2 linked regions of the Oryctolagus cuniculus genome follow. The protein of the gene in region 1 purifies or fractionates together with the protein of each later gene. This does not show direct contact. Links are inferred from orthologs where the notes say so. Each region holds a gene or a part of one and is shown on either strand. Other genes may lie near its edges.

The links.
Region 2: the proteins of DVL2 (region 1) and PLK1 purify together in Homo sapiens (affinity purification with mass spectrometry; 6 studies listed by BioGRID and IntAct, with this or other methods). This does not show direct contact. The link is inferred for Oryctolagus cuniculus from reciprocal best matches to the Homo sapiens genes DVL2 and PLK1.

The regions. Positions count from the first base shown.
Region 1 is NC_091448.1:51,833,505-51,837,546, reverse strand, and holds the end of DVL2 (segment polarity protein dishevelled homolog DVL-2), read left to right. Parts: coding exon 1-2; intron 3-81; coding exon 82-158; intron 159-835; coding exon 836-903; intron 904-1,077; coding exon 1,078-1,422; intron 1,423-1,555; coding exon 1,556-1,735; intron 1,736-2,042; coding exon 2,043-2,261; intron 2,262-2,392; coding exon 2,393-2,841; 3' UTR 2,842-3,391; downstream 3,392-4,042. Other genes in the region: ACADVL (very long-chain specific acyl-CoA dehydrogenase, mitochondrial), read right to left, coding at 3,613-3,753, 3,832-3,907, 3,992-4,042.
Region 2 is NC_091450.1:15,668,360-15,673,079, forward strand, and holds part of PLK1 (serine/threonine-protein kinase PLK1), read right to left. Parts: intron 3,533-4,720; coding exon 3,313-3,532; intron 1-3,312. UniProt on the Homo sapiens protein: Serine/threonine-protein kinase that performs several important functions throughout M phase of the cell cycle, including the regulation of centrosome maturation and spindle assembly, the removal of cohesins from chromosome arms, the inactivation of anaphase-promoting complex/cyclosome (APC/C) inhibitors, and the regulation of mitotic exit and cytokinesis.

The DNA of each region.
Region 1 (4,042 bases):
AGGTGAGCTGGGCCAGGGCCGCCGGGCTCCCGTGGGCGGGGCTCCCTGCCCTGCGTGCGACCCACTTCCCCTCACGCCCAGGTGAACGACATGAACTTTGAGAACATGAGCAACGATGATGCCGTGCGGGTGCTGAGGGACATCGTCCACAAGCCCGGGTGAGCCCCGCGCTGGTCCCGGTCCCCTGTCCACAAGCCCGGGTGAGCCCCGCGCTGGTCCCGGTCCCCCGTCCACAAGCCCGGGTGAGCCCCGCGCTGGTCCCGGTCCCCAGTCCACAAGCCCGGGTGAGCCCCGCGCTGGTGCTGGTCTTCTGTCCCCTCACTTTCGTTTGGTCATTTTAAATACTGGTGAGACGTAAGGCTCGATGTACGTGAAGCAGAAATGCGCAAGGTGACGGATAATTCTAGAGTGAAAACCCAGGCCGCCACTCCCTCACACCTGAAGTGCAAGGTTGCCCGTGCCCCTCTGCCCCTTGGGGTAGTCACTCTCCTGACTTCTGCGGCCCAGAGAAAAATCTGTGTTTCACTCGATACTTTCACCACCCATGCATGCATCCTCCAACAGCGGGGCTGAGTGCCACCTGTTGTGGGACTTCCTGGGAGTGGTCTTGCACGGTGGGCGGTGTCCTGTCTCGCTCAGCCGTATGACCCAGGAGTCCTCCACATGGGTGAGTCAGCCGCAGTGTGGAGCCTTGCATGCTCACTTTCTCTGGCCTGGCCATGTGCCTGCTTTTTTCTTCTCACTCTTTCTGCTCCTTAATCCACTTTTGTTGCAGGCCTTGGCTCTCCCGAGGCCTCCACCCTGCCCACCCCTAACTGGCCATCTCCTCCCACAGCCCCATCGTGCTGACTGTGGCCAAGTGTTGGGATCCCTCTCCCCAGGCCTATTTCACCCTGCCCCGAAGTAAGTGACGTCCAGGGAAGAGAACAGGCAGTGCGGAGGCTGGGCTGGGCTCTAGGCTGTGGAGAAGGGGCGGAGGAGGGTCAGGCACAGATGGGACAGGACTCTGAGCTTGGAGGGACGGGCCTGGCTTTCTGGGATGGGAAGTGACAATCTTGGTGGCGCTCTCTGTCTCAGATGAACCCATCCAGCCGATTGACCCTGCCGCCTGGGTGTCGCACTCTGCCGCGCTGACTGGCACCTTCCCAGCCTATCCCGGCTCCTCATCCATGAGCACCATTACATCCGGGCCCTCCCTGCCTGATGGTGAGCCCCCCCTCCACATCCCCGGGAGCCGCATCCCTGGGGGTGGGAGCCCCACCCCTAATTCTCCATTGTCTCCTCTGTCAGGCTGTGAGGGCCGGGGTCTCTCCATCCACACAGACATGGCATCTGTGACCAAGGCCATGGCAGCCCCAGAGTCCGGGCTGGAAGTCCGCGACCGCATGTGGCTCAAGATTACCATCCCCAATGCCTTTCTGGGTACGCTGGGCCCTGGGCAGGTGGCAGGGGAGGAGAGGAAGAGGAGAGAACCCAAGCTGGGCATGGCGCAGGCAGGGTGGTGGCAAGGGCTGGCCGGAGAACCTGAGGCCCTTTTGCCCTGTGGGTGACCCAGGCTCGGACGTGGTCGACTGGCTCTACCATCACGTGGAGGGCTTCCCTGAGCGGCGGGAGGCGCGCAAGTACGCCAGCGGGCTGCTCAAGGCAGGCCTGATCCGGCACACCGTGAACAAGATCACCTTCTCTGAGCAGTGCTATTACGTCTTTGGTGACCTCAGTGGCGGCTGTGAGAGTTGTAAGTTCTTCTGCCCGCCTGGCTGGGGGCGGGGCTGGCGTCCACTCAGGTTCTGCTAGACAAGCTGTTCACCGGGGTGGCCAGGGGCACCTCTTCCACGTCCCACAACAGCGCATGGGCTGCTGGTGCCCTGGCTGTGCCCTGCCCTGAAGCAGTAGTAGGTAGAGTTTCCAAGACCCTGTAACCCCCTCTCCACCCGTGTCACAGGTGGTCCTGGGGCTGTGGTTCCCGCCAGAATTTCCGTCCAGCATTCTAGGGTCCTGGCCTCCCAGGCAGTGACCTCTTCATCCCTTCCCTTGTTCTCCAGACCTCGTCAACCTGTCTCTGAATGACAACGATGGCTCCAGTGGGGCGTCAGACCAGGACACCCTGGCTCCTCTGCCTGGGGCCACCCCCTGGCCCCTGCTGCCCACCTTCTCCTATCAGTATCCAGCCCCACACCCCTACAGCCCCCAGCCCCCACCCTACCACGAGCTTTCGTCCTACACCTACGGAGGGGGCAGTGCCAGCAGCCAGCACAGTGAAGGTAAGCCGCCCCCAGATACCAGCACGTGCAGGGCGGAGAAAAGGGAAACCAGGAGAGCTGGAGCAGGGGCTGGCGAGGCCAGAGGACCCTGGGTCCCGGGCTCAGTTGTCCCACCCCTCTTCCCCCAACAGGGAGCCGGAGCAGCGGGTCTACACGAAGCGACGGGGGGGCTGGGCGCACAGGGAGGCCTGAGGAGCGGGCCCCCGAGTCCAAGTCCGGCAGTGGCAGTGAGTCGGAGCCCTCCAGCAGGGGGGGCAGCCTTCGCCGGGGCGGGGAACCTGGTGGGACTGGCGATGGGGGTCCTCCCCCGTCCAGGGGCTCCACAGGGGGTGCTTCCAATCTCAGAGCCCACCCAGGACTCCATCCCTACGGACCACCCCCTGGCATGGCCCTCCCGTATAATCCCATGATGGTGGTCATGATGCCCCCGCCCCCACCCCCTGTCCCTCCAGCGGTACAGCCCCCAGGGGCCCCTCCGGTCAGAGACCTGGGTTCCGTACCCCCAGAACTGACAGCCAGCCGCCAGAGCTTCCACATGGCCATGGGCAACCCCAGCGAGTTCTTTGTGGACGTTATGTAGAGCCGTTGGGGCCATGTCTGACTCCTCGGTGCTCCTGCTCGGTGGCTGCTGTCTGCCAGTCGCGCACCTGTTACTCCCCACAGTGCCTGGGCTCAGCCTGGCGGCTGCCGCCCACCCTAAACTTACTGCCACTGTGACTCACCAGCAGTGCCTGGTCCCTTCCCCTCCCGCAGGGGTACACAAGGGACCTGTGGTTACTCTTAGCTTTATTATTTTTTTATAAACTTTTTTGGGGTTTAAAGTATACTTTGTTACATTTTGGGGACTATTTTTTTAATAGACATTTCCTTTTTTATATGAAGAATTCCCATTTCCTGGACCCTTTCTTCTAACCCCAGAATGTAGCCTCCTCCAGTCACCCCGTTGGCTCTACCCTACGCAGGGTGGGGAGTGGTCCATGGTACCCTGGGAGGAGAAGGGGTTTGGGCCCCCCAGACAGCAGGCCAAGGAAGCTGGGGTATTTGGTACTGGGGCCGTGTAGCTGCCTTTGTTATTCTATTTATTTTAGTCACTTGTATAAAACACCAAATAAAGCAATAGAGGCAAACTCCCCAGGCCTCTGGTTCTTTCTTTGGGAGGGAGGTAGGCAGTGGAGGGAAAGACCGGAGACATAGTAGCCAAGTCTGACTTGTTAGAAACTGTATTTGTGAGGCAGCGCTCCTGAGAGCAGGCACAGTTCTGGGAATACGAGGCCCCCCTCAGGGTCCTGGCAGGGGGCCTGGCTTTAGCTTGAGAGAAGGCACTGATGGGCCAGACCCTGGGTGAGAATGCTCAGACGCCAAGGGGGCGGCTGGTGACCACGCCACCCTGCTCCACCAGCGCCGTGGAGATGCTTCGGAAGTTCCGGAAGAGCTCCTGCTGCTGGGGGTCGGACTGCAGAGCGGCCATGCTCTCCCGGATGCGGGCAGCAGCCTGTGCGGGGGGAGGGGGTTCAGGCCCGTACCTCAAGGCCCCCCCGCAGCATTTGGTAGCCGTAGCCCCAAGCCTCACCTCAATACACCAGCTGTCACAGAGTATTTTCTCGTGCTGGGCTGTAGGGTAGCCCTCGTTCAGGGCTCGTGAGGCCCTGGTTGAAAGCAGGAGAAAGTAAATCCAATCTGGGCTATGCCGCTGACCCTGGTGGGCCTCTCCGCACCCACCGCTTCCTCACCTGGAGAGAACCACCACCATGGCGTACAGGTCGATGGCCCCGTCTGCCAGC
Region 2 (4,720 bases), on another chromosome or scaffold:
TGGAATGGATTCAGTTGCTTTTCAGTGAAAATGGGAACTTTTTCCACCCCCAGAATCTGTTTATGTACTTCTATATAAGTCAAAGGAGTTGGTTTTATTTGGGTGGTAGTAAGCATGGATATTACTATCTTTATACTTAAATGTTTAATTCTTTTCCCCACCAACATGTCTAATTCTCCTGAAATATTTCCTAAAAGAAGTTTTCAATTAAGAAAAAAACTATGCTGTGACAGGTATGCAAGCATGAAATAGTAACATATTAGGGATTTGCTTTAAAAACTAGGAAAAAAGGGGAGGAGGAGGAAGGTATGGAACAGATCAAAATCTAGTAGCTGTGCTGGTAACTACTGACAACGGATGACGAACACGTGGGGAGTCACGGCACACTTCTCTCTGCCTTTGGGTAAAGTTGAAAACATCCATGAAGTTTTTTGTTTTTAAAAAAAGCTGTAAGTTCAAAATTAAACTGAAAAGTAATCCTTAAAAAACCCCAGTATTATATTAATATAGCCCAAAGAACAAAATAAACAATCCTTGAGTTCATTACTGACATAAATAAGCAAACAAGGAGAGGGCCAGCTCTTCCTTAGAGGGCCAACTAGTGAAACGCAGGAGCAGGGAAAAGAAAGAGCACGAGAACACAGTGAGCACTGCTGCAGGCAGGCCCCGCCGTGGGCGCTAAACTCGGCACGGGACACTGAGCCTAGCAGTCATACATCGGTTAGGACACCTGCGTGTCACCTGACTCACCACTTCCTGCTAATGCAGACCCTCCGAGGCACTGGCAATGGCTCAAGTAACTGGGTCCCTGCCACTGACATGGGAGGCCTGGACCGAGCTCCTGGCTCCAGCCTTAGCTCAGACCCAGCTGTTGCAGGCATTTGGGCAACAAACCAGTGGATGAGAGCTTTCTCTCTCTCAGATAAAAATAAGAGAAACCCATCAGATGCCACGGTAACCAAGTGATCACAGTTAATAAACACCACCACTAACAAGAGAAAAAAAAAATCAATGTGTACCCCTGATAGACTACATGGAGCCGGCGCCGCGGCTCACTAGGCTAATCCTCCACCTGTGGTGCTGGCACCCCAGGTTCTAGTCCCGGCTGGGGTGCTGGATTCTGTCCTGGTTGCTCCTCTTCCTGTCCAGCTCTCTGCTGTGGCCCGGGAGTACAGTGGAGGATGGCCCAGGTCCTTGGGCCCTGCACCCGCATGGGAGACCAGGAGGAAGCACCTGGCTCCTGGCTTTGGATCGGTGCAGCGCACCGGCCGTAGTGGCCATTTGGGGGGTGAACCAATGGAAGGAAGACCTTTCTCTCTAACTCTGCCTGTCCAAAAAAAAAAAAAAAAACCCACGAAACAAACCAGAGTCCACGGAGAAGGGCGCATCACTTCTGCTGCACTCCCCCAAAGTCTAGAACCTCAGTGTGAGCGCGAGGAACTCCAAATCCACAGAAAGAGCGGAAGTGGAAAACCTGACGAGGGCCCAAGACAGCCTGGAGTGTGAAACTACCGGGGCCGACGCTGAGGGGGAGCAGTGAAGCTGCCGCCTGCTCCACCTCCTATCCAGCTCTCTGCTATAGCCTGGGAAGGTGGTGGAAGATGGCCTGAGCCCTTGGGCCCCTGCACCCGCGTGGGAGACCCGGGAAGCGGGGAGCTCCTGGCTTTGCATCGGTACAGCTCCGGCCATTGTGGCCAACTGGAGAGTGAAGCAGCAGATGGAAGACCTCTCTCTCTCTCTCTCTCTCTCTGCCTCTCCTTCTCTCTCTCTGCATAACTCTAACTTTCAAGTAAAACAAATAAATCTTAAAAAAAAATTTACAAAGTGAAAAGTAGAATTCAAAAAAGAAAAAGAAAAGATACTGCCCTGTGTTTTAGTCCTTCTCTGTGGTTACACAACACGCTGATGCGCGGGAAGCCAAGGGAAGGGTATATGGGAACTCTCTCTGCAATTGCTATTATCTTTTAGAATTTCTGTATAAGCCTAAAGTTATTCTACAATAAAATTCTAGAAAGTAATCCCTAAATATTGAAAACTAACAAACAAATGAACTTAAGTTGTCTATCAAACTGAGATACACCTAGAGGAAGTATTTCAAGCTACTTTAAAAAAAAAAAACAAAACAACATATCTTTGGAGCCAGCACTGTGGCGTGGCGGGTTAAGCTGCAGCCTGCAGTGCCGACATCCCATATGGGCGCTGGTTCTAGTCCCAGCTGCTCCACTTCCGATCCAGCTCCCTGATATTGCACCTGGGAAAGCAGTGGAAGATGGCCTAAGTCCTCAGGCCCCAGTACCCACATGGGAGACTCAGATGAACCTCCTGGCTCCTGGCTTCGGCCTGGCCCAACCCTGGCCATGGCAGCCATCTGGGGAGTGAACAAGCTGATGGAAGATCTCTCTCTCCTCCTGTAACTCTTTCAAATAAAATAAATAAGTCTATATTTTAAAAAGAAGATTGCTCTAAAACTATATTGTATCCATGTTAAATTTCTTGAGCTTGATAACTGTTATGCACTGTGGTTATATAAAATAATCTTTGTTTTTAGGAAATACACACTGAAGTATTAAGGGTAAGAATGGAATACTTACATACACAACTTACTTTTAAACAATTCTGTGTGCATGCAATGCAAATGAATGATGTCTTCAAAAAGTTAATGGAAAAACCTGTATTATGAAAAACTACAGGTTCAACTTCGCACCAAAATAAACTTCTAATTCCATTTTTTTCCCATTAACTTTTTGAAGTACCCTCATGTGCAGTATACGTGGGAGGTAGAGGAAGAAGATAAAAGTAAATGTAAAAAAAAAATGGCAACTGGTGGATCTAGGGAACAGGGTAGACGGAAGAGGAGCTTCCTGTTTGTTCTTCCACCTTTTTTTAACCTTGAAATAATAGCAAAATAAAATGCTACGAAAAAGGGAATCGCAAACATTATCATACACCCAGATGTCCCCCTTTAAAGTAAGTATTTCCTGACTCTGTCCTATAGAAGAGACCCAGAGGAAATGACAACCTAGGTAATGGCACGTGACGTTAGATTTTCCTAAGAAAATCGAAGCCGCATACTGAAGTTATGGGTACAATGGCAAGATGTCTGAGGTTAACTTTAAGAATATATCAGAGAAACAGGGAAGGCTCCGCAGGGCAGGTGTGACTGCTCAGATGGTGGGGACCTGGAGGCTCCCACAGCCTGCTCAGGGTGTGTATTTGAAACTGTTCCTGTCTCCTTCAATGAAGCATGAAGAAGTGATATTAGGGGCCTCGGTTCTCTCTGGGGTTCTGTGTCTGACCCTCCCCTTGCTTTACCTTTATTAAGGACGGTGAGAGGCTTCCGGCTGCTGGGGTCCAGGCTGCTGGGAGCGATTGAGAACCTGGGTGGAATGGTGAGGCAAGTGATGGGCAGCCGGGCAGGGATGTAGCCGGAAGTGAAGAACTCGTCACTGAGCAGCTCGTTAATGGTCGGGCGGGCAGAGGGGTCTGTCTGCAGCATCTTCTGGATGAGGGACGCAGCCACAGGGTTGATGTGCTGGAGCAGAGACAGAGAAAGCCCTGAGCCGGGCGTGGCCGTGGACTGGGACAGCAGTGCTGTCATAGCGGGACCACAGCCCACAGGGCAGCTCCGGGTCTCAAGTAAGCCATGGTTCCACAACTAAGAACATCGCCAAGCTCCCCCTTATCGACCTCACGGAGCTGACGAGTGAGAAGGATCACGTTTCTTCCCTCTTGGAACTCCAGATTAAGCTGTTTTCCCCCAGACTTGCCCTTGCACACCTAAAGTTGCTCGTCTCCACTGCAGCGCCTTGAGGACACAGGCTTTGAGGTCTTGCACCTGTTTAAACACCGTTTTGCCCTCATCTCAGCTACGACAAGCAACCTGCGCTTTGTAGGGCCTTTGGGGCCGCATCTGTAAAAGGACGGTGAGCACCAAGCTTGGGGCCCTGCTCAGAAGCCTCGATGGGCTTGTCCTCGCACAGGCTGGGGCAGCCACAGCCTGGCACTGGCTCTGCACGCACTATGCGCCGGGGCAGTGTTCTCAGCGCTTGCTGTTCACTAACTCTCGTGGACCTCACACACACCGCACCTAAGGGCAGGGATGTCTGTCTGCCTTCCTCTACAGAGGGGGCTGAGGCACGGAGAGGGTGGGGGCCTTGCCTAAGGATACCCATCTAGCTCGGGAGTGACAGGAGCCAGCACCAACCCCACGTCTGACCGCAGTCTGACCCTCTGAGGCCGTCACTCCTCTGTCCTCCCACAGTCAGAGCACTTGGCTTCACATATGCCAAGAGCCGCAAACTGGAAACCGGCAGTGTACCAGGCCTCTGCAGAAGCGGGCCGTTCTGTAAAAACGCGTTGGTGCCAGTGGTTGGGAGAAGCTCACGGAGTCTCTGAGTACCTGGTGTGTGCCAGCCACTCCAGAAGCAGGTGGAAAACTACGGTTCAGAAGATTCAGGCAACCTGCCCAACGTGATCGAATGAAGACAATCCATTTCCTACACTGTCAGCACTTCTGCCCCCCACTTCTTCCCTCTCTTCTCCTCGGCTCCTCCTTACACATCTTTTGGGTTATTCACTCAACCTTCAAGAATCTACAAATGCTCCCCTCTAGCAAAAAAAAAATATAATGTTTCAGATTCTGTATGCAATTTCAGACCATTTAAAGTTATGGGGTTCACCTCTCTAAGTTCTCAGGACCCAGCGGGGCTCAGTAAATAGC